4 separate regions of the Mus musculus genome follow, and regions 1, 3 and 4 are each reported to be linked to region 2. The links are microRNA targets in miRTarBase. Many come from high-throughput screens and were not tested one by one. Region 2 holds a microRNA gene; each other region holds the end of a gene's coding sequence.
The links. The annotated mature microRNA mmu-miR-128-3p reads UCACAGUGAACCGGUCUCUUU and lies in region 2 at 3,513-3,533, opposite strand. An mRNA with a match to its seed (bases 2 to 7 or 8) in the 3' UTR can be bound and repressed. Matches are read on the target gene's strand: a 7mer-m8 pairs with bases 2 to 8, a 7mer-A1 pairs with bases 2 to 7 and ends in A, and an 8mer does both.

Region 1: the mRNA of Foxp1 is a reported target of mmu-miR-128-3p. The part of its 3' UTR that is shown has no 7-base or 8-base seed match.
Region 3: the mRNA of Trem1 is a reported target of mmu-miR-128-3p. Seed matches in the 3' UTR shown: 8mer at 5,090-5,097 and 7mer-A1 at 4,317-4,323.
Region 4: the mRNA of Zfp329 is a reported target of mmu-miR-128-3p. Seed matches in the 3' UTR shown: 7mer-A1 at 3,264-3,270 and 7mer-m8 at 5,938-5,944.

What each region holds. Positions count from the first base shown.
Region 1 is chr6:98,923,187-98,930,896 of GRCm38, reverse strand. Foxp1 (forkhead box P1) reads left to right here. Exons shown (of 19, transcript NM_053202.2): 19 at 663-5,555. The coding sequence ends at 807. Among named protein-coding and RNA genes, the nearest start is that of Gm38865, 200 kb to the left of the region's middle.
Region 2 is chr9:112,115,132-112,122,841 of GRCm38, forward strand. It overlaps Mir128-2 (microRNA 128-2), which reads right to left and starts at 3,580; the gene lies at 3,505-3,580. Arpp21 (cyclic AMP-regulated phosphoprotein, 21) reads right to left here. Exons shown (of 21, transcript NM_001362020.1): 19 at 4,052-4,178.
Region 3 is chr17:48,243,299-48,251,008 of GRCm38, reverse strand. Trem1 (triggering receptor expressed on myeloid cells 1) reads right to left here. Exons shown (of 4, transcript NM_021406.5): 4 at 4,085-6,463. The coding sequence ends at 6,361. Trem3 (triggering receptor expressed on myeloid cells 3) reads right to left here and starts at 3,280. Exons shown (of 4, transcript NM_021407.3): 1 at 3,115-3,280; 2 at 1,110-1,460. The coding sequence starts at 3,160. The region is part of intron 1 of Gm52308 (a long non-coding RNA gene); the gene reads left to right. It overlaps Gm52307 (a long non-coding RNA gene), which reads left to right and starts at 951. Exons shown (of 3, transcript XR_003952372.1): 1 at 951-1,367; 2 at 3,302-3,733; 3 at 4,909-4,983.
Region 4 is chr7:12,803,857-12,811,566 of GRCm38, reverse strand. It overlaps Zfp329 (zinc finger protein 329), which reads left to right. Exons shown (of 2, transcript NM_026046.3): 2 at 1-7,710. The coding sequence ends at 1,540. It also overlaps a transcript of Zscan18 not described here. Among named protein-coding and RNA genes, the nearest start is that of Zfp329, 11 kb to the left of the region's middle.

The sequences.
Region 1 (7,710 bases), not on the chromosome of region 2:
AATGATAGAGCCTCGCTTGGGGTCGTCCTCTGGAGGGTTCTTTCACAGGTTCTGCATGTTAACTAGCAAAACAGAACACACAGCAAGCCATGATTAGCCCAGCCTCCTGTACTCAGTGGTCCCCACGAACCACTGCCGTATTACAGATTCTCATTTCACATAATTATTTGCAGGGTGGCATTCGTCCACCCAGGATGTCACTACGGGGCCTGTTATTTGGTACTCCAAAGGACGGTCCTGGGACCAGCCCCATCACCTGGAATCTCTTAGAAATGCACAGTCTGAGCTCCATACACTGTACTGTCACAAGGGCCTTGGGTAACTTGTGTGTCCTGAAAAGCAAGAGAAATGATTTCCATAGAGAGTTTATTCTAAAGCAGCATCCAAGACTCTTACCAATGCAGCTAATACACCGAGCAGTACAGAAGCCCCTGGCCTCATATGGCCCCTAACCCCTTGGGCTGCAGGCAGTGAAAATGTCCAGCAGTCATAGGAAGTTTCCCACCGTCTTTGAAAAACTTGGTTTTGGCTGTGGTTGTGGCCAAGGTTACCCTGCCTCCACTGGGCGGCATCTCTGTAGCACCTCTTGTAGGTTGCTCCAACACCAGCGTCAGGGCAATCCGGGTGTTCCCCTAAGCCTGTTTCTCTCTCTTTCTCTGTAGGCACCCCATACACGTCAAAGAAGAACCCCTCGACCCCGAGGAAGCTGAAGGCCCTCTGTCCTTAGTGACAACAGCCAACCACAGTCCAGATTTTGACCATGACAGAGATTACGAAGACGAACCAGTAAATGAGGACATGGAGTGAACCTCTGGGCGGGCCGACCCCCGAGACCGAAGATTGGGGAAAAAAAAGCAAAACAAATTTAAAAAAAAAATAAAAAAAGAAAGAAAGGAAAAGAAAAGAAACCACGTCAAAAGTTAGCAGTGAAACCCGCCCTCCGTTTCTTGTACAGTCTGGAGGATTTTCGCTACATTTTGACAACTCTGAAACGTGTTAACTCTTAGTGCCATCAAGAATCCCATTTGGGAGTATTTTTGATTTTTCTACTTTTTGTTGACAAAAGGGATTTGTACTCTGTGCATTGGATGGACCTGTTTGGTACTTGGGATTTTCCTCTTTGAGTCAACATCAGTGTTGTAAATTCGATAAACGGATTCACTTTTAGCAGCAGACTTTGAACTGCAGCTTCGCCCGGCTGATGCTGGGCGGGCGCCGAGGACACCCGACTGAGCTCACGTACCTGCGCTGCAGACCAAGCCTTCGCCCGAGTTCAAGACTCCAGTGGACGACCTTTTTGCACAGCGCTGCATGTTGATACCACTGCCTTTACTCACTTTGGTTTGTTTTGTTTTTGTTTTTCGCTTCCAGTTGGGATGGGGGAAGGCCTTTGTGTGTGTATTGGGGGGAGGGGTTAAAAATAATTATCCCAAATTTTTTAATGTATTGCTTTTTTTTTTTTCTTTTACTGTTTTTTTTTCTTTCTTTCTTTTTTTTTTTGGCTTCTTTACCATTTTAAGTTCTGACCTCAGGCCTCCATTTGGGCCCAGGGCCTCTTGGAGGCTTCGCGTTTTCTGTACCTTGTGATGAATGTTAATAGGCGTTTTTATTATACAGAGCTGAATGTCATTTCTCGTCTGTAGTTTTCTGGCACTCATTCCATTTTCCTATAGACATCACCATGTTTCTCTCAAGTTTAAAACAAAACAAAACAAAACATTCCGTTTTGGTCTTTTTCCAAAAAAAAAAAAAGAGAAAAGAAAAGAAAAAAAAAGATCCCAAAGGCTGCACCTTACACCTGAAGGTCCCCACACGGGGACATGACATCCTGCCAGTAAGAGAATGAATGACAGAAAAGGAAAGAGAGAAACGCACGCGCGCACACTCTAGGGACATGGCAGATTCATTTCACAAAAACAGTATTGGGGGTGGGATGGGGGACTGTTGGAGGTTTTTCTTTTTTTTCTTTTTCATAGCACCCACCATTGTGAGTAACTGCCACCACATTCTCTCAGCATCAGGAAACACAGCCACGAAAGAAACAGAAGAGAATAAACAATCCTCAATAGTTAGACTGTCACAGTGGCCATGGAAGATCTTCCCTCCTATAATCAGGTGACCAGGACCACAGGCCCTGTGCCATCCTCACCCGCACAGGTTGCTCTGTTTGCAAAATGACCAAAAAGCCAGCATGGTGACAGGGCTAAGTTTGTACAGTAGTTCAGACCTGCTCGGTGGCATTCATCTGTTTTAATGCAAATGAGACTTCACATTGAACTTGTTATGGGAGTTAATGAGGACTGAGCTCAGCAGACGCTAATGTGTCAGGTTCCAGTGTGCTAAGTCGGTACTGCAGCTTGGTCTGCAATGTGAGCACCACACCCACCACCCCAGTAGCACAGACTTCACGGAAGAGGACACCAGGTAGACAGACCAGGGCCCACAGAATGAGATGGCTCTAGGTCAATATGCCCTCGGCCCTTCAAACCCCTCCACATTTCCGTCTGCACCCGCTTCCCTGGCATGTATTTATCTGGGGCTGTAGCTTTTGTTTGGGTTTAGTTTGAGAGCCTTTCGGAGCTTAATTTATATACTTTGTACCTTTTTTTATTTCTAAAATTACCAAAGATATTACGCAAAGGTAAATTATTTTCTTTTATACTTTATCTGATGAAGCCAAATATCCTCTTATTGTTGATCAAAGGAGGCGAAAGGATTCAGAGGCAAATGATGAGGTCCAGGCTATTTGCCAACCTGAGGGAAATTACTGCCCGTCAGCAGAGTTCATTTAGCAGACTATGTAGGCAATGGAACCAAAGTTTTTTACTTTTTTTTTCCTGTTTTTTTTTTTTTTCTCTTTCCTTCTTTTCTCTACCTGTAGAGAGACCAAAACTAACTCCTATAAGGAGAAAATCCGGGGCTACTGCAGAGAAAAGAAATCAAGACAACAGTATTATAGCTCCTGTGGAAAGAATGGGCTAGCATCTCAAAGAAAAAGAAATGAATGTATGATGCTGAAAATTAGTATATAATCGAGGAGACACTTAGGATGAATTCAGAGAGAACGGAGAAGTGTCTGGCCGCTCGAGGCCACTTCTAGAATAAAGAGATTTTTAGAACATTCGTACGCCACTTTTGTTTAAGGGCTGTGCTCTGATCACTGCGTTAATCTTGGTTTATCCTGGCATTTATCCTCTGGTTTCCTTCTGCTTTTTGTTGATGTTTTGTTTTATTTTTTTCCTATTTCAGATTATGATTTGGTCAGTGTTTTTCATTTACACACAAAAAAAGCTAACATTCCCACCCACTCATAAGCTTAGAGTAGAACACCTTTGGCAATGACTTCTGAAGGTTTGCTCTGCTTTCTATAGAGGGGCGGTCTGTGGTTATTCATGCCCCCTCCACCACCACCCCACCCATCTTTTCCAGGCAGCTTCACAGTGTGCAGGCAGTAGCCAGGCCGGGTCATGGGAAGGGGGCCCTGTGCTTCTAAACTGAGTGGTTGCTGGTTAGATATACAAAAGAGGATAAAACTCTGGTAGGTTAGTTCATTCTCAGCATGTGTAGCTAGACAAGAGTAAAGATAACAGCATGGGGACTGTTAGTACGCACACCTCAGTTCAAACCTTTAGGGAATGAGTTTAAAAAAAAAATTAAAAATATACCTTTCACTCAGTCGTACTTAGTCGTATGTCTTGCATGCTTAGTCTAAAGACTGTAGCAAAGAAAATAAATAAAAGAGAAAAAATTAGATTTTATGTATCTTTTCAGGTGTCATAGCCTGGCAGAAGAACCAACTGAAAAAAAAAAAAAAAGTTCTCAGGCTTTACAGCAAGCAATCTTCACTCTGATTTTTAGAATTCTGATTCTGTCCCTCGGGGGGTTCCCGCTTCGTTTGAATGGGGTTGATTCGGTTGTACATATATCCCGATGTGTCTGTGTGCATCTTTGTCTTTTGCGGGGGAGGGCCGAGGGGAGGGTTTTTTTGGTTTCGTTTTGTTTTGTTTTGTTTTAATTATTTTATTTTTTAGGTATTGTTCCTAAAAAGGAATAAATGCATACACCTGTTTGTCAAAACATCTTTGCTTTTTGTGCAACTGCATTTTATTAATAATACATTTAAAAAAAGAAGAGGAAGAAGGAAAAGAAAATAGTATCTTTGAGGGAAAAAAGTCTACTGTCTGTAATGGCTTTGCAGTTAATGCTGCGTGTGTACTTCATTTTATTGCCCTTGATTTACAAACATTGGATGACATGTTGATAATGGGAAGAAAGAAAAACTCCACACACACATCTCTTTCTTTCCCTCCCCCTCCTCTCTCTCTCAAATTGTAACATAGTTGACAAAATGTGTTTCCTATCCTCATTATTTGGAACATTTTGTACAGGTTTGTGGAATGGGGGTGAGAGAGTGAGTGTGTGAGTGAGTGTGTGTTACTGTTTTTGATACATTCCTAGTCCTTGTGTTTTATCATACCACTGCCTCCTTGACTATCTTAAGTTCCTAAGTTTGAAAAAAGGAAAAAAAAAAAGTTGTTTAAAAAAAAAAATGTTCTCTCTTGCTGCAGTCAATATTTTTGCATGATGAAATTCCAGGCTCATACTTTCAAAGTTTTATGAGTAAAGTAGTGATTAATAATGGGGAGTGTTGAAATATTGAACTTTTTGTATAAAAAAAATTTTTTTACAAGGTCCCAAGGTGTAAAGACAATTTGTTACCTTTTTCTTTCTCTTCTTAGTAAATATTAGCAAACGTGAGGGAGGTCAGCCTGTGTCAGACACACACAGTCACTGATGAGGACCCACCCTCCATGAGCTTAGGGGTCTATTCATGTGAGAAGGCTTACAGCCATCTCAGGGTGAACAGCCTAGGCTTACCTGCATGGTGACCTAGCTGACAATCCCCTCCCCACATCAAAAGACAGTTGAGTTCATATTCCTAGCATCTCATCAGCCATAATAAGAGAAAGCCTTGGTTTAAAAAAATAAAACAAAATGATAGAGCCAAAAGCATTATAAATCACTAGCTCTTTTTATTTATTTATTTTTTTCAGTTACAATATTGAAGTCTCTCCTCTCTTTTCCACATTCTAGCTGAGCTCTCTGTCTCCAAGGGCATAAAGCAAACTCTGCTATTTGAATCTTGTTGGTACCTGTTGGCCAGTGCCATACCCTCCTGACAGTCTGGAAGTGTTTTGCAACTTGGTTTTCCTTTATTATCATGAGAAGCAAATGGACAATTCTAACGGCGTCTTGTGGGTCCACTGTAACTCGAAGCGGTCCCTGCTACCCAGGAGCCTGGGTGGAGACGGTGCGGTCTGGGTTGTGAGTGTGGTGCTCTTTGTATCTGTGCTGCCGCTAACAGGGATCGTTTTGTTTTGTTTTGATAAGACATAAAAGAATCTCATTCCTTGATATCAACTGTAATTCCACCATTCCATGTCTGTGGACACAGACAATAAAAAAAAATGTTGTGTAGTCAGTAGTAATTACTGACATGAGCGCATTCTTAAATGCAATAAAAGTGCTGGTGGTTCACACTGGTAGACAAAGTTGCCACAGACTAAGTTTTTTCCCCACTTCTGACCTGCTGAGGCTCTGGGTCAGGCACACACCCCAAGCTGCCTCTTAGCAGCTTTTCCAAGCCAGATTCACAACCAGCCCTCACTAAGGTCGTCGGCGAGCAGGCCAGAGGAAAGGTCCCAAGGAAAGGCGGAGGGGCCAGCTCCTTCAGAGGGAACATACTGTCTTCTTCATCAAATTTGATAAAGAGAAAAAAAAAGTTTAATAACTAACATGAAGAGCCAAACTAAAATTTCAGAGGAAAGCAATTTCATGAATAATTCATTGACATTTCACATCTGCAAGATCAGTCATCCAAATAAAATGCTAACGTCAAAACCACGCACCATCTACAGCATTCTCATCAAGAAAGCTCTTTGCATATAATGATAAATGCTTAGATTAGAACAAATGATTATATAAAAATGTCCTATCAAAAGTGTGCTAGGTTAACCACACAGAAGACAGCAGTGCCGAATGGAGAACCCCAGGTCCCAGGAAACCACCTGTAGAGATGATTTTTTTTTCATTCTATACCTTTAGAAAAATGTGCCTTTTCTCTTGGGCTTAATTACATCATACATATTCTAAGGACTAATGAACTTAGCCACATTTGTTTTTCAACACAAATTTAACTTGTAGTATATTGAAAGAAACACTGTAAAGCCTCATGCGGTGGCACATGCCTTTAAGCCCAGCACTTGGAAGGCAGAGGCAGGCTGATCTCTGTGAGTTCAAGGCCAGCCTGGTCTACATACTGAGTTCAGCCAAGTGACATAGCCTGTGTCTCAAAACAACCACCAAATGAACCTTTTAAGTGGCCAAACCACAGCATCTTAGCCCTGTGTCTGTAATTCCAAGCACATCCATAAAGCTTTCAGATAACAGCCTTACAAACACCTTTTCCACATCACTGTACCTGCCCGGTTAAGGGAAGCATTAGAAGGTTGGTTCCTGCATGGTTTGTGAGTCTACATTTTACATTTTCTACAACAGTATGGTTTTTATTTAGGGTTGATTTTATTTTTCATTTTGAGAAACAGGGTCTCACCATGTAGCCCTGGCTGGTTTAGAATTCCCCCTAGGAAAATCAAGAAGCCCGCCTTATTAAAATTACAACAATCCTCCTGCCTCAGCCTCCCATGTGTTAGGATTATAGATAGGTGCTGCCATGCCCGGTTCCTCTTGATGTCATTTGAAACAAGTAGATGTTGTTGCTGAGCTAAGAACCATCACCCTCTTCTCCATGATGGCTCCGCCCATCTGAGAGCTCCCTAGGCGGATAATTAGCAAAACACTGGGGCCTTTAATTCTCACCTGGCGACTAAGAATATACTATCACGGTTAACTGAGATGCTCTTAATTGCTGGACTTAAATGTAGGTGCTGCTTGCAGGACATACTGTGAGCTAGCTGTGCACACACATTCCTACCAGAACACCCCAGGACCTATGCAAGTATGAGGGTGTGTAGTGAAGGCCCAGCTAGCTGATACCATATTTTAAATTGCATTTCAGGAATCTTTCTGTAGCAAGAATACTCCTTAAACTTTCATTTCAGGCTTGCTCCTCACATAAAGCAGCTAACCCAAAACACAGCTTCTTCTATTAAACAGGGATATATATATATAGTCTAAGCTCTATATAAAACACCAGCAGCACTGGCATACACATGAATCTCTCAGCAAAATGGATGAACAATGCAATGAGCCTTTCTGATTGGTTGTCTTCTTTGGTAATGCCACATATTTATATAGAATGAGTAATCACAATTTTGCTTTTCAATTTAGTTACAAGTATTCCATACTCAAAGTTGGGCCTCAAAACTTCATTTAAGGTGCTAGACAGATAAAGTTTTAAGACAGAATAGTTCACATCACAGAGAAGTTAAATGCAAAGCTGTTGGGATAACTGTGGGATAATATGTGTATTAGAAAACCATTCTACAACACTTACATTGTATATATACATATATGTGTATATATAATAAAACAGCTCTATGCTGTTTCTGCATTGACTGCGAAAGTATACTGCATGCCTAGTATCAAGTACACATCCCGTTAATTTTCCCATCTGAAATTATCAACAGTCGCCTCTGTTCCCCAGCCTCAAAGCGAGATGTTGGGCTGGGAAAAGGACAAGCTTTGAGT
Region 2 (7,710 bases):
CTCTTATGACCTTTTCTTATGCACACAGCACACATACATACACTCAGGAGCACTTTTTTTTTTTAAATACAATCCATAATTTAAGTGCTCTGGAAATTTTTATAAAATTATCAGGAAAAGCTAAAGACATTATTTTGACCCTATAGGAAAAAGCATTTCTAAGCAAAAATCTGTCAACATTTGAAGAAAATAAAACTCTAAACTCACACAGTCTCCTCAAAACAAATAATCAAAAAATAACCCCCCAAGCAAACAAATAAACAACAACAACAACAACAAAACCAGAAGGGGATGGTACACTTCTCAGTCTCTTTTATAAGGCCAGTGTTGCTCAAATGGCAAACACAGATTTTTCTCAAGTGCTCATTTACAAATGTGCACAGAACATTTCCCATAGGAGATATTCTATAATAAAGGATTATAATTTCCAATATAAATAACTGTGAGATCCAAATATCATTTTGGAAATATCCCCTTTGGCTTCTCCAAAACTGCTTACTATCCCTGGTCTTCGTGTATCATTATCGTCAGGCGGAGATTTTTAATTTTAGTATTGCCTATCAATGGAGCAAACAGAAGGAAGTCACCAAGAGGAAGATTCTTGTCCCTGGTGTGACTAATATCCACGAGCTCAGTTGCTCATTCACCAGCTGCAAGGACTCTGGTTTTCTTTATAAAAACCCACTGTCTGTGCTAGGAAGATAAGAGTGGGGGAAACACCTGCTGGGCAAGCATTAGGACCAGTGTTCTGATCCCCAGCTCCCCAGTAAATGCCAGGTGGGCAAGGGGGCCTGTCTGTAATTCCAGCATTGAAAAATAGAGTCCAGAGAACACTGGCCACTCAGGCTAGCCCTATCTGTGAATACAGAGGATTCCTAACATTAACCTTGAGTCACTGCTTGCCGCATTTACCTGCACACTCTTTTGCCCACACGCATGCAGATGTGTATTCATAAACATATGCATTTACACACACACAAACACAAACACGTGAATGGGAAAAATGATAAAAACAAGACCTTACATGGAGTTTTAAGGCCTAGGCAAGGCATTGTAACCTGACAGGGGATCAACTCTGCCAAGAACGTGGAAGAGATAGATGCTTTTTATTACAATTAAATACAAGTGGCAGGGAGTTTTCAGAACAGAGTGGGGATAAATCTCACTGACTTTAATGGACAAAAATGCTCTAGTATGCGATAGCCCAGATTGGAGCAGGAAGACTAGACAGAGCATATCTGTAGAGTGGCTTTGAGTCAGCTAGACCAGAGTTTATCCGTAAAGATGATGAGGATGGAGTAGGGGGTGTGGGTGGGAGTGGCATTGCACAGCCCGGCCAGAACACACAACTGTAACAACCATCTAAAGGGACAATGTCCAACTACTGGAACATTCCCATAAATAACCCCACTGTGGCATATTTAAACTCTGCTGGTTTTCACTAGGCCGTAGGTCATCCTTCCTCCAGAATGTAGAGCATACTCGCGTCATCACAGTTCACAGTTAGATTTTATCAGCACAGGATTCTTTGTGACTTTGAGCTACCATCTGCCTTCACTAATCCACAGTAAACTCACTTTCTGTAGGGCAAGCTCTGCTGGGACTGTCGGCCAGGTGTCAGGTGCAATCATCAAACCTGGAAGGGCAAAGATCTCATTCTGTATCTGTGTGCTGTTGGTGGCACGTCTGGGGACCACGCCATTCTTGAACCATTTCCCTTTTCCTGTCTCTTACTCTCAGACCACAATGACTGTCACCCATGGCTTGGACACGTGGAACCTGCCCTTGTCCCCACTCTGAATACAAGCCTTCCATAGGATTTACTCTTTGTAATAATAATAATAATAATAATAAAACATCGGTTACCAACTCTCCTAGGGGATTGCATATCCATGGTCCTACATGACACCAGGTTGCCAAGTTATGTGGCTGAGATTATCTACATGTATGTTCCAGGGATGCAGGAGGGATTTCTGTGTCTCTCAATATTCCCACTACACCTCATAAAAGAATGAAAACATCGCAGCTACTTTCTCATATGTCATCAGTCATAAGGAAAGACAGAGGAGAGGAGGCATGGCCAAGGTGTTACCAGTGATTGCTCTAATCCTAATTCTGGGGCTCTGGGACCTGGACACAGACTCTGCACTTATCAGGTTCCTACATTGTTGTAGCCACACCCCCTTTCTACTATAATACCCAATCGTGGAATATCTCTTTAGAATTCTGAAAGTCACACCCAGACACTACACTAGATACATGTGAGATCAGTAGAATTAATGACCTGCATCATGTTTCTTCCTAATGCATTCCTGACTCAAACGCAACCTTCTCTGTGGTACGTGAGATTAAATGGTAACTTTGGGTGTGCGTTTGCACACTAGTGCAAGGGTGGTGTATGTGTAGGTAGACACGCATGTGTAGAGTCTGGAGGACAGCTGTTTCATTCCTTAGGCACTGCACATCTTGGCTTTTGAGACAGGCTCTCTCACTGGCTTGATGTTTGTTCAGTAGGCTAGGCGGGCCGGCCAGTGAGCCTCGGGCTCAGTGAGTTCGTCTCTGTCTCTCCAGGGCTGGGATTACAAACCCAAGTCATCACACAGACACCTTTATGTTAGACCTGGGTTCTGATGATCAAATTAGGGCCACCAGCTCAGCTTTCTCACAGTGCTAAAGAATAATCTTTAAGTATACAAAGGCAGACAAAGACGGGACCATTCACATGCAAGTGCACTATCCTGTAGGATTGAATGGAAGGAACCGCACAGTCCCTACCAACAAGCTGCAGATTTCCTGGCAATTGCACAATGCAAGGTCGAAGGCTTTCCCTTAAAAATGACTTCACACACTTTTGTCCTTACTTTTATAAAAGTACAAGGGTCACTCAAAGGTCCCAGAGAAATACAGCATTTAAACAAGATTAAAAACTGGCTCTCATAGGTTCCTCTAATTTCTCTCAAACGGCTTTAAATGGGCCAGTGGTGAATGAAATTAAGAACACATGGCCACGTGCAGAAGAACTGAATTCTGTCTCCAGTTTGGATCTGGCAAAGCTTTAGCATCAGTGTCAGCGTCAGCGTCAGCATCAGCATCAGCATCAGCATCAGCATCAGCATCATTGGAGTTCTTGCGGTGTTTGTGCCTGTAGCTAAATCCTTGGCAAGGACTGTAAATTTGTTTGTTTGCTTCTTTGTTTGTTCTAGCTTGTAAAAATGGCACATATCTTATCCATGTCACCCACGTGTATCTGCACATATTACGCATTCCTGTACGGTTGTATCCATCGCAGACTTCAGACCTCAGAGCAGGCGTTCTCGGAGAGCCGCAGCAGGAGCTCTTTAGTGTGACCTACTTACAGAGGCAGAGACTTCAGCATGACAATTAGCACTTTCTCCCTGCAGTTTGGTCGGCCGGATTGACAGGGAATTCTGCCTAGCGGCGTTTCCCTTAGCCCTGCTGGGCGCCTGCTGCTCTCTGGAAGCGGCATTCCTTAGGAGTTTGACACAGTAGGGAAAGAGACCGGTTCACTGTGAGACCTGCTACTCACTCTCTTACAGTGCATCGGCCCCCCTTCCCACTGCACAGTGGCTGCCGGGGCTCTGGGTGTCAGGCATGTGGCCTTCGTGGCAGTAAAACATGGAGTCAGAGTTCCAATATTGCACGCTGCATAGTCAGGAGCCTTCTTTTAAAGCCGGCGCTGGATTTTAGGACAGTATCAACACAGCCTAATTTGGCCCCTTAAGGACTAAGGAAACAACAAAGCACTTGGGCTTGGAAGATAGGGATGCGCTTGTTTCTCTGCTTTAAAATAAACTCAGAGGATGTAAAAATAGCTTTGGGGAACAACTGAGCATGCGCAGGCTCATAGGCTCTCATCTCCTCGCGCCTTTTAGTTTCCCACAGAGTGAATCAATTGCTTTGCTAGTTTCCCCGGGTAGGGGAAACATGTGACTTAAATTTTCTCTTTGGGTATTCATCCAGTAAGTACAGCTATGAAATTCACCATCAAAAATAACCAAGCCGGAGGACTGAAAGGAAACATTTCCCGTACCTGCTTGCTGTGTGGTCTGTGGTATTTGCTGACTCCGCTGAGCACTGTACTGGACTGAGGCGAGGGGTCGGTACTGCTGTGAGGTTGAGGTAGGGTACTGACCAGATGGGTAGTAATAGACGGACATCTGTGGGACAAGAGGAGAGAGAAACAGAGATGAGAGCTGTTCACAAGAAACATATTTTTTCACATAAAACCCACTGTTGCGATACAGTGTCATTAACTGTGGCAGATGTTGAAGGTGGGCCATGAGCATCCTTTCTCACACCTGTTTCAATGTGCAGGCTCGTTCTCCCCTGATGGGAGCTATCTCCTGCCTAAAGCCGAGGAACCTGCTTTGATCAATGCAAAGAGGCAAAAGTGATGTGATGTCTGCCATTCCCATACCGGAACTTTAAGGAGATTTGCAACCCCACTGCAGGGGCAGAGGATTTAGTCTCCAGGGAAACACCTATCTATCCTGCTGTGTTAGGAGGACAGAGACTCCCCTCCCCGCTGACTGGCTGACTGGCCCCTCAATCTTCAGATGTTGAGCACAGTCTGGGTCAGGTGCTCCAGTCAGTACCATATGGAACTGAAATGAACTTCTTGGGAGGAGTCGGGCCCATTTAGTGACTGTGTCATGAACAGCAAAAGGCCACTTGATGTCTTGCCAAAGATTCAAAGAGTGATTTATACATAGCCTGTATCAAAATTTGCAGCATATGTAATATAAATGGATCTATGTTAAGATATTGTGTAGGTATCTTCTGCAAACTTATTTTTAGTAGTGGGGACTGAATTTAGGCTTTTGTGCCTGCTGGGTAAGCCCCTTATTAGTCACCAAGCTGTATCCCTAGGCATCGTCTCTCTCTCTCTCTCTCTCTCTCTCTCTCTCTCTCTCTCTCTCTCTCTCTCTGTGTGTGTGTGTGTGTGTGTGTGTGTGTGTGTGTATGTGTATGTATGTGTGTGTATGTATGTGTGTGTGTACATGTTCATGGGTGTGGAGGCCAGAGGTCAACCTTAGGTGTCATTCCTCAGGTGCTATTCATGTTGTTTGCTTGAAACAAGATTCCCATTAACGTGAAACTTACTGATCAGTGAGGTCAGCTGGCAAGAGGAACCCAGGGACTCTACTTCTCTCCACTTGCCCGGCTGGCTCTGAGATTACAAAATGAGCCACTCTGAATGGCTTTTTAATGTGGATGTAGGGGATCGAATGCAGGTAGGTATTCATGCTTGCATGGTAAGCATTTTACTGACTGACCAATCTCCCCAGCCATTCTTGGAGATCCTTTTATTTTGAAGTTTAAGACGGTCTTATGCATAGTTGCCAAGACTTTGACTCATTCTGTAGCTCAGGAAGGTCTTGAATTCACAATTTTCCTACCTCATTTTCCTCAGATGCTGGGGTTACAGGTCTACACCCCTCAGGCCTGCCAGCCTTCTGTCTACTGTTTAATGACTGACAGCCAGTGAAAACACCCTAACCCTTCCCATTGAGATCAGATGCTTCCTGATATAGAAGACATCTTTGCCTACCTATTAATGCTATGTGATGCTAGTTTCTTACTCATTTCAGCTAACTCCTTCTGTCTTCAGGCCTCTGGCTTTTCTCTTCTCATCTTTAAAGGGAGAATAGGTGGCCATCCACTATATACTCCAAAGTATACAAGTTGTGTGTATAGAAGAAGATTGTGAACTAATTATCTTATAGCTCTGATTTTTATGCCTATTTTATCTTTTGATTTGATTATATCATAAGATACTAGTGTTCCCTCTTGCTACTAGAGTGTATAATATGTTCCCATACCTCAGGAAGAAGGTGGAAGCAAAGAAAACATTGTATGGCTGTGGTTTTGCAATGCCATGGAATCAACATGAACTGTATTCTCACTTTCTAGTATGGTAGATGACCGAGGGGAAGGGGCTGGGAGAGCCTAGAACTATTCTGCCTCATTGCTTAGCAATCAGTCATTTACTAATTGCACTCATTATTTGTGGTCATTTAACCTGTCTCTCTGTCTCTGTCTCTCTCATTGTGTGTGTGTGTGTATGTGTGTGTGTGTGCATTTAAAGTGTGATGTTGGGTGTCTTCGTCAGCAGCTCCACTTTACGTTTTAGGATTATTTGTCTTAATCTTCATGTATGAATGTGTTGCCTGCTTGTGTGTATGTACACCCTAACTCTGCTCGTGTCTGCTGTCTGTGGAAATCACATCCCTTGGAGTTGGGATTATGAATAGTGGTGAACCACTGTGTAGGTGCTGGTAGTTGAAACCCAGGTCATCTGTAACCCGTGAGTCATTTCTCTGGTCCCTCCATCTTACTTTTGGCATAGGGTTTCTCACTAAACGTTCAGGTCAACAGCTTTCAGGTCAACAGCTTGTTTAAACTGGGCAGTCAATAAAGTCTAGGGACCTGCTTGATTCTACCCTGGACCTTCCCCAGTTCTGGTGTTACAGATGTGCATAGCCACACCCAGCTTTTACAGGTGCTAGCAGTCCCAGCCCAGATCTTCATGCTGCCTTACCAAGCATGCTATGAGCTGTATCATCTCCTTAGTCTGTTCTCTCCTTTTGATAATCTCAATTCAAAAAAACTAAAAACATAAAGAATTCATGAGCAAATCGATTTAGATCTATTCTGGAAATTTTTCTTGATACAGTTAAAAGTCGCTATTACATATTACATATTACATAGATGCCCTACAATATTAAGAACAAGTACAAGTACCTCCGAACTATCTATTATCATTATATGTGCGCATCTGTTATTCTGGCTTGTACCTTAGGAAAAAGATTATGTGTTATTTCCATATAAGCTTATAAATACAATGCCCATTCCCCTTTTTTCCATTTTTTATTAGGTATTTAGCTCATTTACATTTCCAATGCTATACCAAAAGTCCCCCATACCCACCCACCCCCACTCCCCTACCCGCCCACTCCCCCTTTTTGGCCCTGGCGTTCCCCTGTACTGGGGCATATAAAGTTTGCATGTCCAATGGGCCTCTCTTTCCAGTGATGGCCGACTAGGCCATCTTTTGATATATATGCAGCTAGAGTCAAGAGCTCCGGGGTACTGGTTAGTTCATAATGTTGATCCACCTATAGGGTTGCAGATCCCTTTAGCTCCTTGGGTACTTTCTCTATCTCCTCCATTGGGAGCCCTGTGATCCATCCATTAGCTGACTGTGAGCATCCACTTCTGTGTTTACAATGCCCATTCCTTAAAACTACTTATTATTTCAGTGTATACATAAGTGTGTTTTGTGGGAATGTGGAGATAGATGTGGGACTCTGCATGCCATGGAATGGGTATAGTGGTAAGAAGACAACTTGTGAGAGTCAGTTCTTTCCTTCCAGCATATGGGCCTAATGATCAAATTGGCCTCACCAGCCCGTGCTATCTTTTCTGTAGTCTTCTAGGATAGAATATTAATCAAGAAACACTTCAAAGGTAAAGAATGGAGGGCCAATACTTGAAAAGTTCCTAATGAGCATTCATAATTTGGAAAAAAATGTCAAACTTGATATATGTAGATTTTAGAAGCTACTCGTTTCTGTTTGTTTAATCTTGTTCTTCCCCTTAAATTGTATTTCTTTCTGTGCTTAGCAAAGATTTGGGCAACTTTACCTGGCCCTTCTCCGTGGTGTGCCATTACTTAGTCCTTAGGAA
Region 3 (7,710 bases), not on the chromosome of region 2:
TATTTCTATAGCACATTACTGGTTGTCTGTATGTAAATGCTTGTCCTTCCTCACTAGCCCAAAAGATGAAGGTCAGGTAGCCCTCAATGCCTACAGGCAACCTAAGATGTGAACGGGCTTTGTCTTGCCGCTGATTGGTTCAGACTGGAATATGGTTCCATATAATCGAGAGCTGGCAGCTGGATCTGGGGCAGGAAGTGTGGGGGCGGGACTTCAGGGCAGAGAGAAGAGTTGCAGGAGCTGTAAAGCGATGGAGCAGATTCAGGAGAAACAGAACGAAGACAGAATGGAGATGTAAGCAGGCACTGAGAACCACACAGGGAGGCAAGATGTCGGAAAAGCCAAGGCTAAGTTAGAGAGCTAGCTGAGAGACTGCCCAGCAGAAGGCCAACAGTTTTCAACGATGTAGAGGTCTCCATGTCTTCATTATAAACCACAAGTCAAATCCATGAAAGGGAGCAGGTGGCTCTCTGACTCTTGTGCCTGCTCTTGGGACTCTCTTCCTCCTGTTGGGTTGCCATGTCCAACTCAGAGATAGTTTTTCTTTTGTCTTATTATGTAATATGATGTCATATATATATATGTTATCTTTGGCAAATTTAAAAAAACCTAAAATCTTAATAAGCAGGTATCCTATTGTTCAAACTAGGCCATTTCACAATTGTACCAGGGACTTTTGAGAGGGGTGGGCCTGTGGGGGTCCTAACAGCTCGATGATCTGCAGGGGAACACAGTGAATGACCGCAATCCTGAGTCCTCCTGACACAGAGAGGCAGTGGGACAAATAATCAGCCGCAGGCGTGGCTCGTGACAGTTACCAGCTTCTCTTGCAGATTTCCTGACGTGGAAGTAGATGGCTTTTGAGTTCACCACATCCAACGTCCTTGTCTTACAGACAATAAATAAATAAATAAATAAATAAATAAAAAAAATAAGGCACAGAGAATGTGACTTTCCTGGTGTCACACTATGGAAGAAGGAAAGATCTAGAATCCCCCCCCCCCCATTACCCTGAGCTGCCTCCTTAAAACAGCTCCTCCTGGAAGATAGGGTCCCTGCCCCACTATTGAGCAGGAAGAGACTCCATCTGAACGTTCACCGGAGCTCACCTTGACACCATGCCAGCCGTATCCGTTGACGCAGAATGATAACATTGTCAGGAGAGAGGTAGACCACACACTGGTACAGCCCCACATCTTGCCTCTGCAGCCCAGTCACCGTGACCTTGACGACAGATTCGGTGGGATAATCCTCCAGCAAGTACTTCCCAGCCCTGGCCACGTTGAAGTCTGCCTTTCTGGTGTTTGTGAGCACCAGAGTCTCTGGAGAACCGTGGCTTCTGACCCGCTGCCAGGCCTTCAGGCTCAGTGAGTATAGCATGATGTTGTAAGGACAAGTCAGGGTCAGGTTCTCGCCCTCCAGAAAACACTTGTGTTCTTCCTCATCTCCAGCTTGGAGTCCTGGAATAGGAGATACGTGTTTCATGGAGCCAACTTGCCTTCTGCTCCAGCCACACATTGCTGGGACACTCATGACCCCAGCAAGCATGGCAGGGGAATCTAGGAGCGCTGTAACTATTCCAGAGCTCTTGATTGCTCTATGTGTGTCTATATCAGTTAAGTAAACCAGGCAAAATATCCAGAACAGGTGATTGGATCTAAGCTGTGTGTTTGCAGGGAAGACTCAGTCTGCATCTTGTAGAGTGGGAAATTTTTATATTGAATGATTACAAAAGAGCTTTACCAGATTGCATCACCATTTCTAATTCTAGAAACATGTGTGTATGTGCAGGCAGCCATCCACCATCTGCCTTCCTGCCTTTCTCTCTCTCTCTCTCTCTCTCTCTCTCTCTCTCTCACACTTTTCTGCCTCTGTGTCTCTCCATGTGCATCTCTCTGTGTGTCTCTTTCTTTCTTTCTTTCTTTCTTTCTTTCTTTCTTTCTTTCTTTCTTTCTTTCTTTCTTTCTTCCTTCCTTCCTTCCTTCCTTCCTTCCTTCTTTCCTTTCTTCCTTTCCCACCTCTCTGTCTGTCTCTGTTTATCTATTTCTGTCTCTGTGTATCTCTTTGTCTTTCTCTCTCCCCACTCTTTGTTTCTCCATCTCTCTCCTTCTCTCTCTCTCTCTCTCTCTCTCTCTCTCTCTCTCTCTCTCTCTCCCATCTATCTGCCTCTCTATCTTTCTCTTGTACCTCTCCCCTACCTCTCTCAGCTGTGTGTCTCTATGTGTCTCTGTCCCTCCCTCCCTCCCTCCCTTCCTCCCTCCCTCCCTCCCTCCCTCTTTCCTTCATTCCAAGATCTCACTTTGCAACCCAGGCTGATCTGAACTCAACATATAGCGTAGACTGCTTCAGATTCCCCACAATCCTGCCTCAGCCTCCCGACTGCTAGGATGACAGGCATGTCCCACTATTCCCAGTTCTCTATTGTTTTCTGTTGTATGTCTGGTGGCCCAGACATGGCCGTTCCTGCCTGGCACACAGAACTTTCTGTTTATTCCTTGTATCCTTAAGTAGAAACCCCCTTCAACCCCTGTCCATCTGTCTAAGGGGGGCATCCACCAGACAGTGCCAACTGCATTAATCTTTTTATCCTTCTTGGTCTGTCTTTCTTGCCATGGGTGGGTAGTAGGTTACACTACTACCACCATGACATATTTTATGATGTATTTACTGTGTGTGAAATACTGAACCATGAGATTTCCATCAACCTGTTGGTTAATTTGGAGGATATATTTCTTTACCTGCCCTTTATGTTGCTCCGTGGTTGATTGTTCCTTTAAGGGAGATTTGCCTCCCTGGTTTTACCTCTAGGTGAGAATCAACACATCGCAAGAGGGTTGCCTGGTTACCACCACATAACTTTCTCTACTTCAATATGTCCAAGAAGAACCTCCAACTTGTTTCACAGCCCACTCTCTGCTGCATCAGGAGGGATCACCAATGTCTCTGTCCATCTCTTTCTCAATACTGACCCATCTCTAACATATACCCTGGTCTCCACCCAGGCTGTCTTGAGGAACATAAGTACACTTTTAGCAGCTACCCCCCCCCCCCCGGCGAGCTTCATCCCTCTTGTTGACACCCTGTCCTCTAGCTTCCTCACCTGCCTCTCCTTACCCGAGACACAGAGCATCAGCCCCAGCCATAGCAGCAGCGGTGACATCCCCCAGGTCCCTGCCTCCTCTGTATGAAGCTCCTTCCTGGTGTGCTAACTGCCAATGGCCCCAAGGCAAGTGGCCAAATCACTTACAGTTGCTGGAGCATGCTTCCCCACATAGAAACTGACCGACTTCTGCTCTCACAGGTTCCGCTGTTTTGTCCCATTGAGAAACACCAAGGGAAATGTGACAAGAGGAAGCTGCCTTGGGAGACACAGGAGGGGGAAAAGGAGAGAACCCCATTTTTTGTGACACCCTCCTTCCTCCTTTGATGCCACAATCTGTTGAGAAACGCTCTGTGGCTGGCTGCCGTTCTCTGCCACACCTGAGGTCCCTACACTGTTCCACTCACTGCCTCTGGATACCAGAACATTGTCATATCCACGACCCCTCACACCGTCCTCCCCAAGCCAAGGAGGCTGAACATTCGGATTTGCTCACCTCCCAAAAGCAGGAGACAAGCAGATGTCATTATTAGACATCATTCACTTTGTTTTTCTGACACAGCATCTCTCATTGGCATGAGCCTCACCAAGAAGGCTAGGCTGCCTGTCTCTGACTCCCGAGGGCTGGATGATGTACGTACACCACACATCTGGTGTTTTGTATGTGGCTTCTGGGAATCAGGTCCTTGTGCTGCTGTGACAGGCACTTTACCAACAGAGGCCTCTCCTCAGCCTTTGACTCATCTTTCATCTCATTGTACCCATAGTTCTCAGTGAGACCTCATAGCTGGATCACTCAGGAAGCTAGGCATGCACAGTCACAGCTGGGTTCTACCCTCAGAGGCCCTGAATTCACAGGCCTGCAGAAGGACTGGGAATCTGCGTTTTAACAAGCGGCCTCGGTGATTCTGGCCTGAGAATCCAACTAGACCAGCTACCTCAGGACACGGACACTGCACGACACTAGAACACTCACCACAGTCACAGAATCTCAACTGCTTTTATTTTATTTATTTTTCAGTTTGGGATGGGATTTCACAACAAAGTCCAAACTGTCCTTGAATCCTCAGGCCCCTTGCCTTAGTCCCCCAAGTGCTGGGATCACAGACATGTGTCATTGTTCCAGTTTTACTCTGATGCCCTGGGAAGGCACCCTGACCCCACCCCCCAAATACAACAACAACAACAACAACAACAACAACAACAACAACACAGGTCACAGTCCCTTATTGTGGAGAAGTCGAGGCAGGAACTTAAGCACTAGTCACATCATATCCATAGTCAAGAGCAGAGGATAAACTGGACCCTTGGGGTCTGCCTGCTTCTGATCAACTAGGCTTCCTTATTTTTATACACAGTTGGGACCCAGTGTATGAAGTGGCACCAGCCATATACAGGGTGGATACTCCCACCTCAATTAACAGCGAAGGCAATACAGCACAGGCATGCCTGCAGGGGACAATTCATCAACTGAGGCTCTCCTCCAGGGTGGTTTCTGGACTACTGCAAATTGAATAACCTAAGAAATATGACAGTTATCATACAACGTGTGTGTGTGTGTTGTTATTGTTTTTTTGTTGTTGTTGTTGTATCTGAAACAAGGTCTCTCACTGACCACAAGAGGGTCTCTAACTAGTCACTAAGCCCCAGAGAACTGGCTGTCTTGGCTTTCCCAGTGCCGAGATTATAGGTATGGCCCGCCCTAAGCAGCTTTTTTACATTTTGCTCTAATGGCTTGAACTCTGGTCCCCAGGCTTTCTTGGGAAGCATTTTAGCCCCTGACTATAAACCCCTGCTTGATTCTTCAGTCAGGAAACAAACCTACTGAGATGAACAGCATCTGCACCAGCCCTCCAAAGACGTGTCCCAGAGCACCAACCCAAAGTGGATTCCACTGCGGCCTCTCCCAGCAGACTGGAGATTATGCAGCTGTGAATACCCTGTGCTCAGCGATGCCACCCCAGGGTGGAGTTACACAGAGAGCCACGTTCACAGTGAACCGTCCTTATGTGACAGAAGCACACCTTAAGACCTGGGATCTTCACAGGAGGTGGAAGGGAAAGTCTCCCTGACAGGAAAGTGCTTTCCTGATATAAGATACGTGGTTCAGCCACTCCTCGGCCTTCTGGGTGCGATCAAGTGAGCTGGATGCTTTGTGGTGATGCGGTTTGATCTTGGGAACCTTTCGATGAAGTTGATTCCAGCCACTGCTGAAGTAGAAGGAATGGATCTACCATCCTTTTCCCACCCAAAGAGGTGGAAACAAGCAAATGCCAGTGTGTCCTAGAGAAAGCACAGGAGCCACAGGGTACCCAGGCTGAGACTGAGAGGTGAAGGAAGGTGAGTGGGAGGTAGACTCACACAGGGGGCAGTCTGAGATAGGATCCTGCCCCCCCCCCCCCCGCCATGCTAGACCCTGTCTCAGTCCAGGCAAAAAGGCATTCAGCTAGCAGCAGAGTCTGGCTCCCCATCTCCCTGCCTCTGGAGCTCTTGAGTAAGGGAACTCTCTAGATTTCATTCCTGCCAGGAGGTGATGGCCTGCTACCCCTGTGGCCTTACTCTGATCACATACACTTTAACCCTCATGCACTGAGAAGTCAATAATAAAATGCACACAGCATGTTGATGCCATCCATGTACTGATTCAATGCTACGGATACTATCTCTTCCAGGTGTTTCCCAGGCAACAGCATCCAGCTTAACTTGATTTCTCTCTCCCAGTTGCATTATTGTCAAGGTAGGATCATGTCTTCTTGGTCCATGGTTGGGAGTGTTCAGAGGACTACAGATGAAGACAGAAATCTGAGTGTCTGACTCCCAGAAAGGAAGGCCCAGAGGTAGGAGGACAGGCTGCTTCATGAGCAAGGGCCCTGCTAAAATGACTAGAATTGTACCATCCAGGAGAAGGACAAGAGGTGGGGATATCAGTGGTGACCATGTAATCTTCTTGACTCCCACAACAAGAGACAGGGGGAAGCTCTGGAGTTTCTCTTTATTTCAGGCCAACCCAACTATTTAGGGGGAATGGCCAGAGTGTTCTGGGAATGGTTTCCCCTTTTCTAAGGGTGCAGAGCACATCCCCAAGATGATGGATAAAATGAGGAGAGTGGACAGGGTCAGCTGAGGATATCCTGAGCCTTAGACGTCACCGGTGATTACAGGTTCAATTCATGTCATAGCTCCTCCTCAGCCCCACCACCTCAGCTCCTCCTGTGAAATAGACACCGCTGAAGGTCACTATTGTATAGCTTCAAGTTCTGTCATCCAAATGTCCTCTTTGTGACAATGAATAAGATGATGAAAACCAGGCTCTTGCTGAGAAGTCCACAGATGACTGAAATAGTAACACTGGATGTGGAGACACTGTGGAGAAAGGGGGTTGAAGGTTGGTGCAATGGACATCCAAACCATGGAGTAGAAAATTCTTCCCACACAATTTCAACCTAGGTCCTTCCTGCAGCTTCCCCACAGCCTCTGGCCCTGTGCCATTCAGAGGGTCACTTCCTAGAATAACCAATTAGACAGTGGAGAGTATAGAGCTCAGGTCTAGGAGATGCATAAAGGAGGAAGGGCTAACGCTGCATCTTGGCCTTCTCTGTGGACTGAGTGAGGCTCACCTATAGGGTATGTCACCTCTGTGGTCAGCATTCTGACCCTCTTCTGGGGAGAGTCACTGAACCTTTAGCTTCATTTCTCCATCCAGAAACCATGAAGACCCCAACCTCACTGACAAGCCCTCTTTGGATTTGTCATAAGTTTAGCAAAATGTTTCTCCAAGATCCAGGTTGAGAGCAACAGATGTAAGAAAGAGACACACAGAGGAGAGAGAGCCCTGCCTGACCCTGGGCAGATAGGGAAGTAGAAGAAGATGCACAGACTCTGCATGATGGGACACAGAGACAAAAGCAGCACACGACAATGAATCAGACAAAAGCAGCATGGAGTACTAATGACATATAATTGTGTGTGTGTCGGGGGGGGGGTGTCTCTGCAAACCATGGGCAGCAGAATTTCCAACTGCATGAGGAAAGAAGGAAGTCTGGATCTACCAAATTCAGTAACTGGTGTTAGTTGAAACTTCTAGGGTCTGACCCTGAGCAGTTTATTTTAGGGATACTTAACTATAGCACAATTTAGGGAAAAGAGTTCTCTGATTGTAATTAACTCAATCCTATGTCTACAACAAAGCTTAAATAACATTATGACATTGAAACTCTTTTCAAAGTACAATGACATCTTCCATGAAGATGGGTTCTATTGACTGAGAAACAATGCTCAAGATAAGGATCTCAGGAGAAAGTCAGAGATTAAAAATAAAAGTCAGGGTGGAGGGAGGGGACAGCCAGTCAGGTGTGATGTAACCACATAGATTGTGAGGGCAGAGGTCATCATTCCCAGATTTTTGGCAGAAAATAGGCTTTTCATCTCTTCCTTTGAAGAGACAACATTGCATGCTTAACAATACTGCTTCCCCTAGTGCTTATATGTAAGTACAAGGCCCTCATACCCTCTACATATAAGAATTTAATGGCGAACAAAGCCAGACATGGCTTATGCCAATAATTCCAGTATTGGGTTGGCCAAGGCCAGAAGATCACAAATCTGCAGCC
Region 4 (7,710 bases), not on the chromosome of region 2:
CTTCCCCATTTTAGGTGATAATTGGGACTGTGAGAACCAGGAAAGAAATTTGAGGCAATCTCCTTTAATTGATGAGAAAACAGAGGCACAGGAAGCAAATTGTGGCCATGTTAATTTGGGGGAGCATTTGAGTACAAATCCAGCCCTTCTACCCTCTCAGAGAGTTCCTGGGACAAACGGCTTCCATGTTTTTAACTCAGATATTAAAACTTTTGATTGTGACCAAACCTTACATAGTTGCCCTCCAAGTTATGCAGTTAAGGGAACTGCTGACGGCGATGCTTGTGAGAAAGCCACCCAACCTTCCATGGAAGCCACTCAACTTGTAAGAAACCAAATGAGAGAGAAATCCTATAAATACACAGAAAGTGTTAAATCCTTAAACCACTTTACCACTGCCCTTTGTGATAAAAAAATTAAGAAAAGAAGCAAGAGATTTTATAAAGGTAAGGACTTTGGGGACATCTTAGCCCTGAGCTCATCTCTTAATGAAAAAAGAAGTCATTCTGCTGAGAAACCGTATAAATGTGCCGAATGTGGCAAGTGCTTCAAACGGAACTCCTCTCTGGTTTTACACCATCGGACTCACACTGGAGAGAAACCGTATACCTGTAATGATTGCGGAAAATCATTCTCCAAGAACTACAACTTGATTGTACATCGAAGGATTCATACAGGAGAGAAACCCTATAAATGCAGTAAGTGTGGGAAAGCTTTCAGTGATGGGTCAGCACTGACACAACACCAGAGGATTCACACAGGTGAGAAGCCTTATGCATGTCTAGATTGCGGAAAAACGTTCAACAGAAATTCATCCCTGATTTTGCATCAAAGAACTCATACAGGGGAAAAACCATATAGATGTAATGAATGTGGGAAGCCCTTCACTGACATTTCTCACCTTACTGTGCATCTCAGAATCCACACTGGAGAGAAGCCCTATGAGTGTAGCAGATGTGGAAAGGCTTTCCGAGATGGCTCATACCTCACTCAGCATGAGAGGACACACACTGGAGAGAAGCCTTTTGAATGTGTAGAGTGTGGGAAATCCTTCAGTCGCAACTCTCACCTCATTGTGCATCAGAAAATTCATTCTGGGGAGAAGCCCTATGAATGTAAAGAGTGTGGGAAAACTTTCATTGAGAGTGCATATCTCATCAGGCATCAGAGGGTCCACACTGGTGAGAAGCCGTACGGTTGTAACCAGTGTCGTAAACTCTTCAGGAACATTGCTGGACTTATCCGGCACCAGAGAATTCATACTGGTGAAAGGCCTTATGAGTGCAATCAGTGTGGTAAAGCTTTTAGGGATAGCTCCTGTCTGACCAAGCATCAGAGAATTCACACTAAGGAGACTCCATACCAGTGTCTGAAGTGTGGAAAGTCCTTCAGACAGAACACTCACCTGGTAGTACATCAGAGACTTCATAACAGAGAGGGTCCCAGCCAGTGTCCTCACTGTGGGAAAATATTTAGAAGGAGCTGGTGTCTTGCCCGACATCAGAGAACACACCTTGAAGAGCAGCCCACGGAAACATAATGGACATGGGCCATGCTGTCCTTGAGTGAACAAAGGATTTGTTTTCAGATGTGACTTCCCTTGCTCGCAGAAAAGAATTCTTTATATATATAAAAAAATTAAGTACGAGATATTCTATAATTGCATTAACACTGTTATTAGGGAACTCCTGAAGAGAGGACTGAAAGGTAGTCAATGTAGGAAAGGCTTCAGGGATGATTCAGCCTATACCAAACACGTAGCGCATACACTGAAATAAAGCACCGTCAGCGAGGAAGGCATTTTCCTAGAGACACTCATTTACCTTTACATCAGGATACTGAAACTGGAAAGAACCTGTGAAGTCATTCAGTAGGTAACCAGACATCTTGAACAGTATCACCTTATTGTATGCAAGCAAATGTTTATTATAGAGTCAAAGCTTGGAAGTGTTATTTGGGAGTGACACTTTTGTCAGTTTGTACTTTCCTGTTTCCATAAAGGCGTAGTGGTGGGACGTCTTACACAGTGCTCTACAAACTACCACAGGCTGTAGCTAGGGTTTTCTGTTTGAATGCACTTCTGTTTTATGGTCCCGCCAGAACACAGATGACGCATTTAGTGAGGTGAAACTGGATATAGGACTTGCTTGTGATTGAAATGAAGTTGACCCTCTTAAGACTAAAATACTCTCCGTGGTGGAAAGGGCTGCTTCTAAGAAATAGGATCCATTGCTTTAGGCGTTGAACAAGAAAATATTGAATTGTATTTCAGTTATCACCTGCCTTCACTGTTGTTAATTATTTCAGATACTAGTTTGTGTAGAGTTCAGGTCCTTTGAAGCAAAATCCAAAGGTTTCATTGCCATCCTAAAAATACTCAGATCATTGTAAAAGAAGGCGTAAAAGTAGATTTATTGTTACTATAATTATGGTCGTATTTGGTTGTAGGTTAGCAGTGGAAGATAGAATTAAGTGGCTTCTTAGGAGACTACAATTGTGTTCTTTTTCCTTTTTATTTATACAGTTTTATATAATAATTTGGTAACGTATATAAAAGTGAAGCTAAAAGGAAACAAATTTGGAGTCTCTTAGATCTTTGCCAGTGGATAGAGGCCAAAGATACTGTCAGACAACCTACAAAGGCTAGATCATGGCTACAGGAAGCCATAAGCAACTCCAGGTGTATACTGACAGATGCTTCTCTGGAATCAGAGCGTCCCGAAGCCTAGAATCATTTCTTTTGGAATTTTGGATATAAAGATTATGGCATTGTGGAGGGAGAGGCGTAGGAGTCTAAGGATAGGGAAGAGAAAGTTAAAGAAAAATCTGGAATAATCTTACCATGTCCTTTCCCAGTGCAGTGTTAGCTGACTGAAAGCTCGACAGTTTGGTTGAGAGCTTGAAAGGCCTCTGATTCCTCCTGGAAATTTTGACTTGATCCTGTCTTCTACCTTTTGGTTCCTGTGAAGAGAGAATCATAAGCCTGTTTTGAGATGATTAAGACTGTTGAGTAGATTCATAAGGAAGTTAGACATCTCAGTCTTCTGTATGCATGCCCTTGACAGCAAGATGGTTATCATATGATGGGGATAGAGAGAGAGTGGTAGACAGCACTTGTTATTCTTCCAGAGGACCTGGGTTTGGTTCCTAGCACCCGTATGATGGGAAGGGACTGGTGCCTAGTGAGTAGAGGCCAAAGATATTGTCAGATATCCTACAAAAATAGTCCTTGGAACAGTTATTATCTCAGAATATTATTGAGTACTGTGATTGGTATACACACACACACACACACACACACACACACACACACACCACACAATCATTTGTAGCTTACAGATTGTCTCTATAATGAACAATATTGAACTGTATTTCAGTTGTCACCTGCCTTCACTGTTGTTGATTATTTCGGATACTAATTTGTGTAGAGTTCAGGTCCTCATGTTATGTGTATGAATAAGGCATTAGCAAATACCTAGTGGACTGTCTATATCACTCAAGGGTGCAGCACTTTGGTGTCTGTTATTCTCAAGTAAAACATGCATGTACCATTAGTGTTAGTAGTGTCCCTGCTTCTTGATACTGCATTTCAGATTCTGGAACAAGAAACCTGAGGGAAGCACCGCAAGGAAGAGGTGTCAACTCTGAAATTGTAGTAAGTTCACATGGGATTTGTGTGAGGGTGAACTGTTTCCCCTTGCTCTTTTCTAAACCTAGTTTTCTCAGATGAGCAGGGAAAACTGGTGTAGCGAAAATGACGGCTGTATAGAAGGTGGACACTTTTGACTAAAGGGGGAAAGGTGAGATTTGAGTTGGGAGAGTTCCAGATGACTTCCAGTGCAACCTGGGCAATTTTCAGTCGTAGGCCTGACTGGGGAACAGACAGAAGAGTATAATGGAATATCAGGACAAGTATCCTGTAATCACACAGCCCTTAAATAGGTAGAGAAAACTTGGGCTGGAATCAGATGGAGAAAGTGAATATAGAGTATTTCAAAGACTGAACATTATTTTACTTTTCCTGACTTTGAACAGTGCTTAACTTACTGTTCCTGGCTTTAAGGCTGGAGAATCCACATATGAGTGGCTTCTGAAAGCCAGAGAGGCAAGAAAGTGCATCCTTCCCCCCGAGTCTCCCCAGAAGGAACTATTCCTGTCCTTACAGTCTGTTGAATACCTGATGTGCGGTTTTAAGCCACGTTTTTTTTGTTTGTTTGTTTGTTTTTGTTTTTGGGTTTTTTTTTTTTTTTTTTGTGGTAATTTGTTATATTATCTGTAGGTGATAAACTTCACTTGATAGTTCTTTTTAGACTCCTGACAGAAGTGTGTTCTTTTACCAAGCAAGTTAAGTAAACCAACCCTTTCCACTCCATAGCAACAATTTTTTTTTAAAGGAAAAGAAGACTTATTTTGCCTCTGTTGGCCTCTGTGAGTTCACCACTTTAACAGCCTTGAATTTTATTACTCGTTTAGAGATTTAAATACTATGAATGTTCATGGGCATGGTGGCATACACCTTTAATGCCAGAACTCAGGAGGCAGAAGCAGGTGGATCTCTGAGTTTGAGGCCAGCCTGGTTTACAAAGTGAATTCCAGGACCGCTAGGGGCTACATAGTGAGACCCTGACCCAAACAATAAGAAATAATAATAAAATAAGTTCTGTAAGTAGCCATTTGTGGAAAGAAATCTCAGAAAAGATAGAGTAACTTTCTTGTAACTTTAATCCCATCCCCGTCTGCTTGGTTGGCCAAGAAGGAGGCATATTTCAGCCTCATCAAGCATGTCTGGAGCCCAAGAATGTGTCAGTGCCAGAGCAGATTTTACCTCCAACATGGAGATGGGGAACATTTAAAATTATGCTCAGTGTCTTAACTAGTTAACATTAACCTATATCCTTTTGATTTTCAAGTTATCAGTGCTCAAGTATGCCTGCCTGCAGACTGCTCATCAACTTCATGTCTTTCTTATTTCAGCAACTGTATGGAGTACGTGCAGTAAGAGTTGGTACTGTAGCAGAAGGCAGAACAAGGTGTTTGCAGTTCAGCAGGGGAGAAGAATAATTGCACAGCATGTATCAGATGGTGGTTGATGCCTGAGAGAAAAGTAAAGCTGAGAAAGGGGATGGGGTGTCTATGTTGGATAAATATGATTACAGTTTTAAAAAGCTTGATCATTCATTTCCTTTCCCAATGAAAGGCAATTACATGTGTGATATGTAAGGGGTATGATGTCATGCAACAAGAGGTTAGGATTTAGGGATGAGAAACCTTCCACCATGTGAGTTACAGGGAGGAACAAGTCAGAGATGGAACGTCTTCATGAGTCACACACAGTTAAAGAAATGGCTTCATTGCAGAGACAGGTATGGAGAACAAAGCTTTGTGCAAGGGTAAACCCATTTACAGGAAAACATCTAATCTATGATTCTGAAGATAATGGTTTCAGAATATGAACAATGAAGTCCTAGCCAAAAAAAAAAAAAAAAAAAAAAAAAAAAACCAAGTAAATAAGTTTATACTTGTATCTATGCTTTAATAACCATAGGTATTCAGCATTAATGGTCATTTCTGATAAAATAGACTAGTGTTCAAGTTTTTAAAATTAAAGGGACTATTCAGTGGTTCATGATATTCTCACAAGTTGAGTCACTTCCATTCTGTAATTTCAGGACATCTTTCTTTCTCTCTCTTTCTTTCTTTCTTTCTTTCTTTCTTTCTTTCTTTCTTTCTTTCTTCCTTCCTTTCTTTCTTTCTTTCTTTTAGATTTATTTATTATTAAACACAAGTACACTGTAGCTATCTTCAGACACACCAGAAGAGGGCATCAGATTTCATTATGGGTGGTTGTGAGGAAATTTTTCATTATCCATAGAAAAGCCCTTTGTACATATTAGCATCCTCCCATTCCTCTGACTCTGTCAATCACCAGTCTCTTTTCACTGTGCATTTGCCAATTCTTTACATTGCAGATCAATGGAAAAATAAGACATGTGGCCCTTTGTAACTTCATTTCATTTAGCATAATGTTCTAAAGGTTCATGTTGTATGTTCAAGGTCCTTTTTGTGGCTGAAAAATATTTTGCCATATGATTAAAACCTTATCTTGCTTATTGGTTGATGGACATTTCAGCTTCCTTTTTTTTGGCTACTAAGAATAGTGCTGTCCTAAAAACATACAAACTCATGTGCCAATAAATTTTCAGTACTCTTGGGTAGATGCTTAGGAGTGGAATTGCTGGATCTTTGTTTGCTTTTTTGAGGAAATGATGTTCACTTTACGTTTGACTGATGTATGACTACTTTGACTTCTTCATGTCCTTACCAATATTAATTTATTTTTTTTGCCCTAGTGGTGTGAAGTGTTTTCTTGTGGTTTGGGGAAAATAATTTATATAGTTAAAATCTATACCTTATCCCACAGATCAGCATTTTTTTTTTCTGCAAGGGAAAAGTTGTATTTTAAACTGTGTTCAATATCATTTCCGCTGCAACTACTCAGCCACCGATGACTGTAATGTGGAAGGAGCTATAGATGATTTGTAGGCAAATGTGTGTGGATGTGTCCAATAAAGTTTTACATATGGACTCTGATTTTTTAAAAATTGTATTTCACAGTGAAAATTACAGAAGATTCAGTTTCATTTTTTAAAGTAAGCCAGACTGGTGGTGCTTACTTGTAAATCTCAGCGCTTAGAGGCAGTAACAGGATGATTGCCACAAGTTCCAATCAGCATGGACTACATAAACTCAGTTGCAAAAACCACAAAAACAAAAAACAAAACAAAACAAAACAAAAAAACCCCAAACAACCAAAAGACAAAACTATAATAAAATACTCTTTGTCCAAAACCACAAGATTCGGAGTAGCATTTATCCAGGGGCTATAGTTTGATAGACAAACTATTTAAATGGAAAGGCGGCTTGAAGCTTCTAGTTGAGAATATCAAACTTTTTTTTTTTTTGTCATCTTGGATAGGCAAACATTTTAAAGTGAAATGGGTATCAGAGAAAGGTTATAGTAAATTTAAGAATTCATATGCATCAGAAAGTCCATATAAGTGAAATGACAATAAAAAAAAGAGACCATTGTAGCTCATAGTTAAATATGTTAAGGATCCAGCATCTCAAAGATTAAAAAAATAAAAAAAACCTCATTGAAAATGTGCGAAAACGCTTTGGTTCTGTGCCGTTTTGAAAGAGGAAATTCAAATAGCCAATAAATTCATGGCAGTGTCCAAATTCATTACATGTTATAGAAATCCCAGGATACTGTAGCTGGATGAATAGTACAGGTGTTGACAGGTAACTAGTTGATAAGCAACTGCATTTTGTAGTCACCTGTCCTGTCTTCAAACCGAACTCTCCAAACTTAAGAGTCAAAAGATGAAAAAACTGTCTCGGAGAGGAAGCTGGGTTGCTTTACAGAGCGTCTTTTCTGTGTTCTTCCTTACCCCCTAGTAAAATCTCTTCTGAATGGGCTGATTTCTGTCTGCTCCTGCGTGCTACGTTTCAGTTTCCTTGCTGCTGTCACCTTAGAGATTTTTCCTGCTTTTAAATTCTTTAATTGCTGAGGAAAGGCAATCCCTAGGGATTACCTAGGGATAACAAATGGAAGGGCGCTGGACTCGCTGGGCGCCCTGGGTCACATCCCGCATAAGGAGGGTGGGGAGACAGGGGTAGGTAGGTACTATTGCAAAAGGATGACCTCTC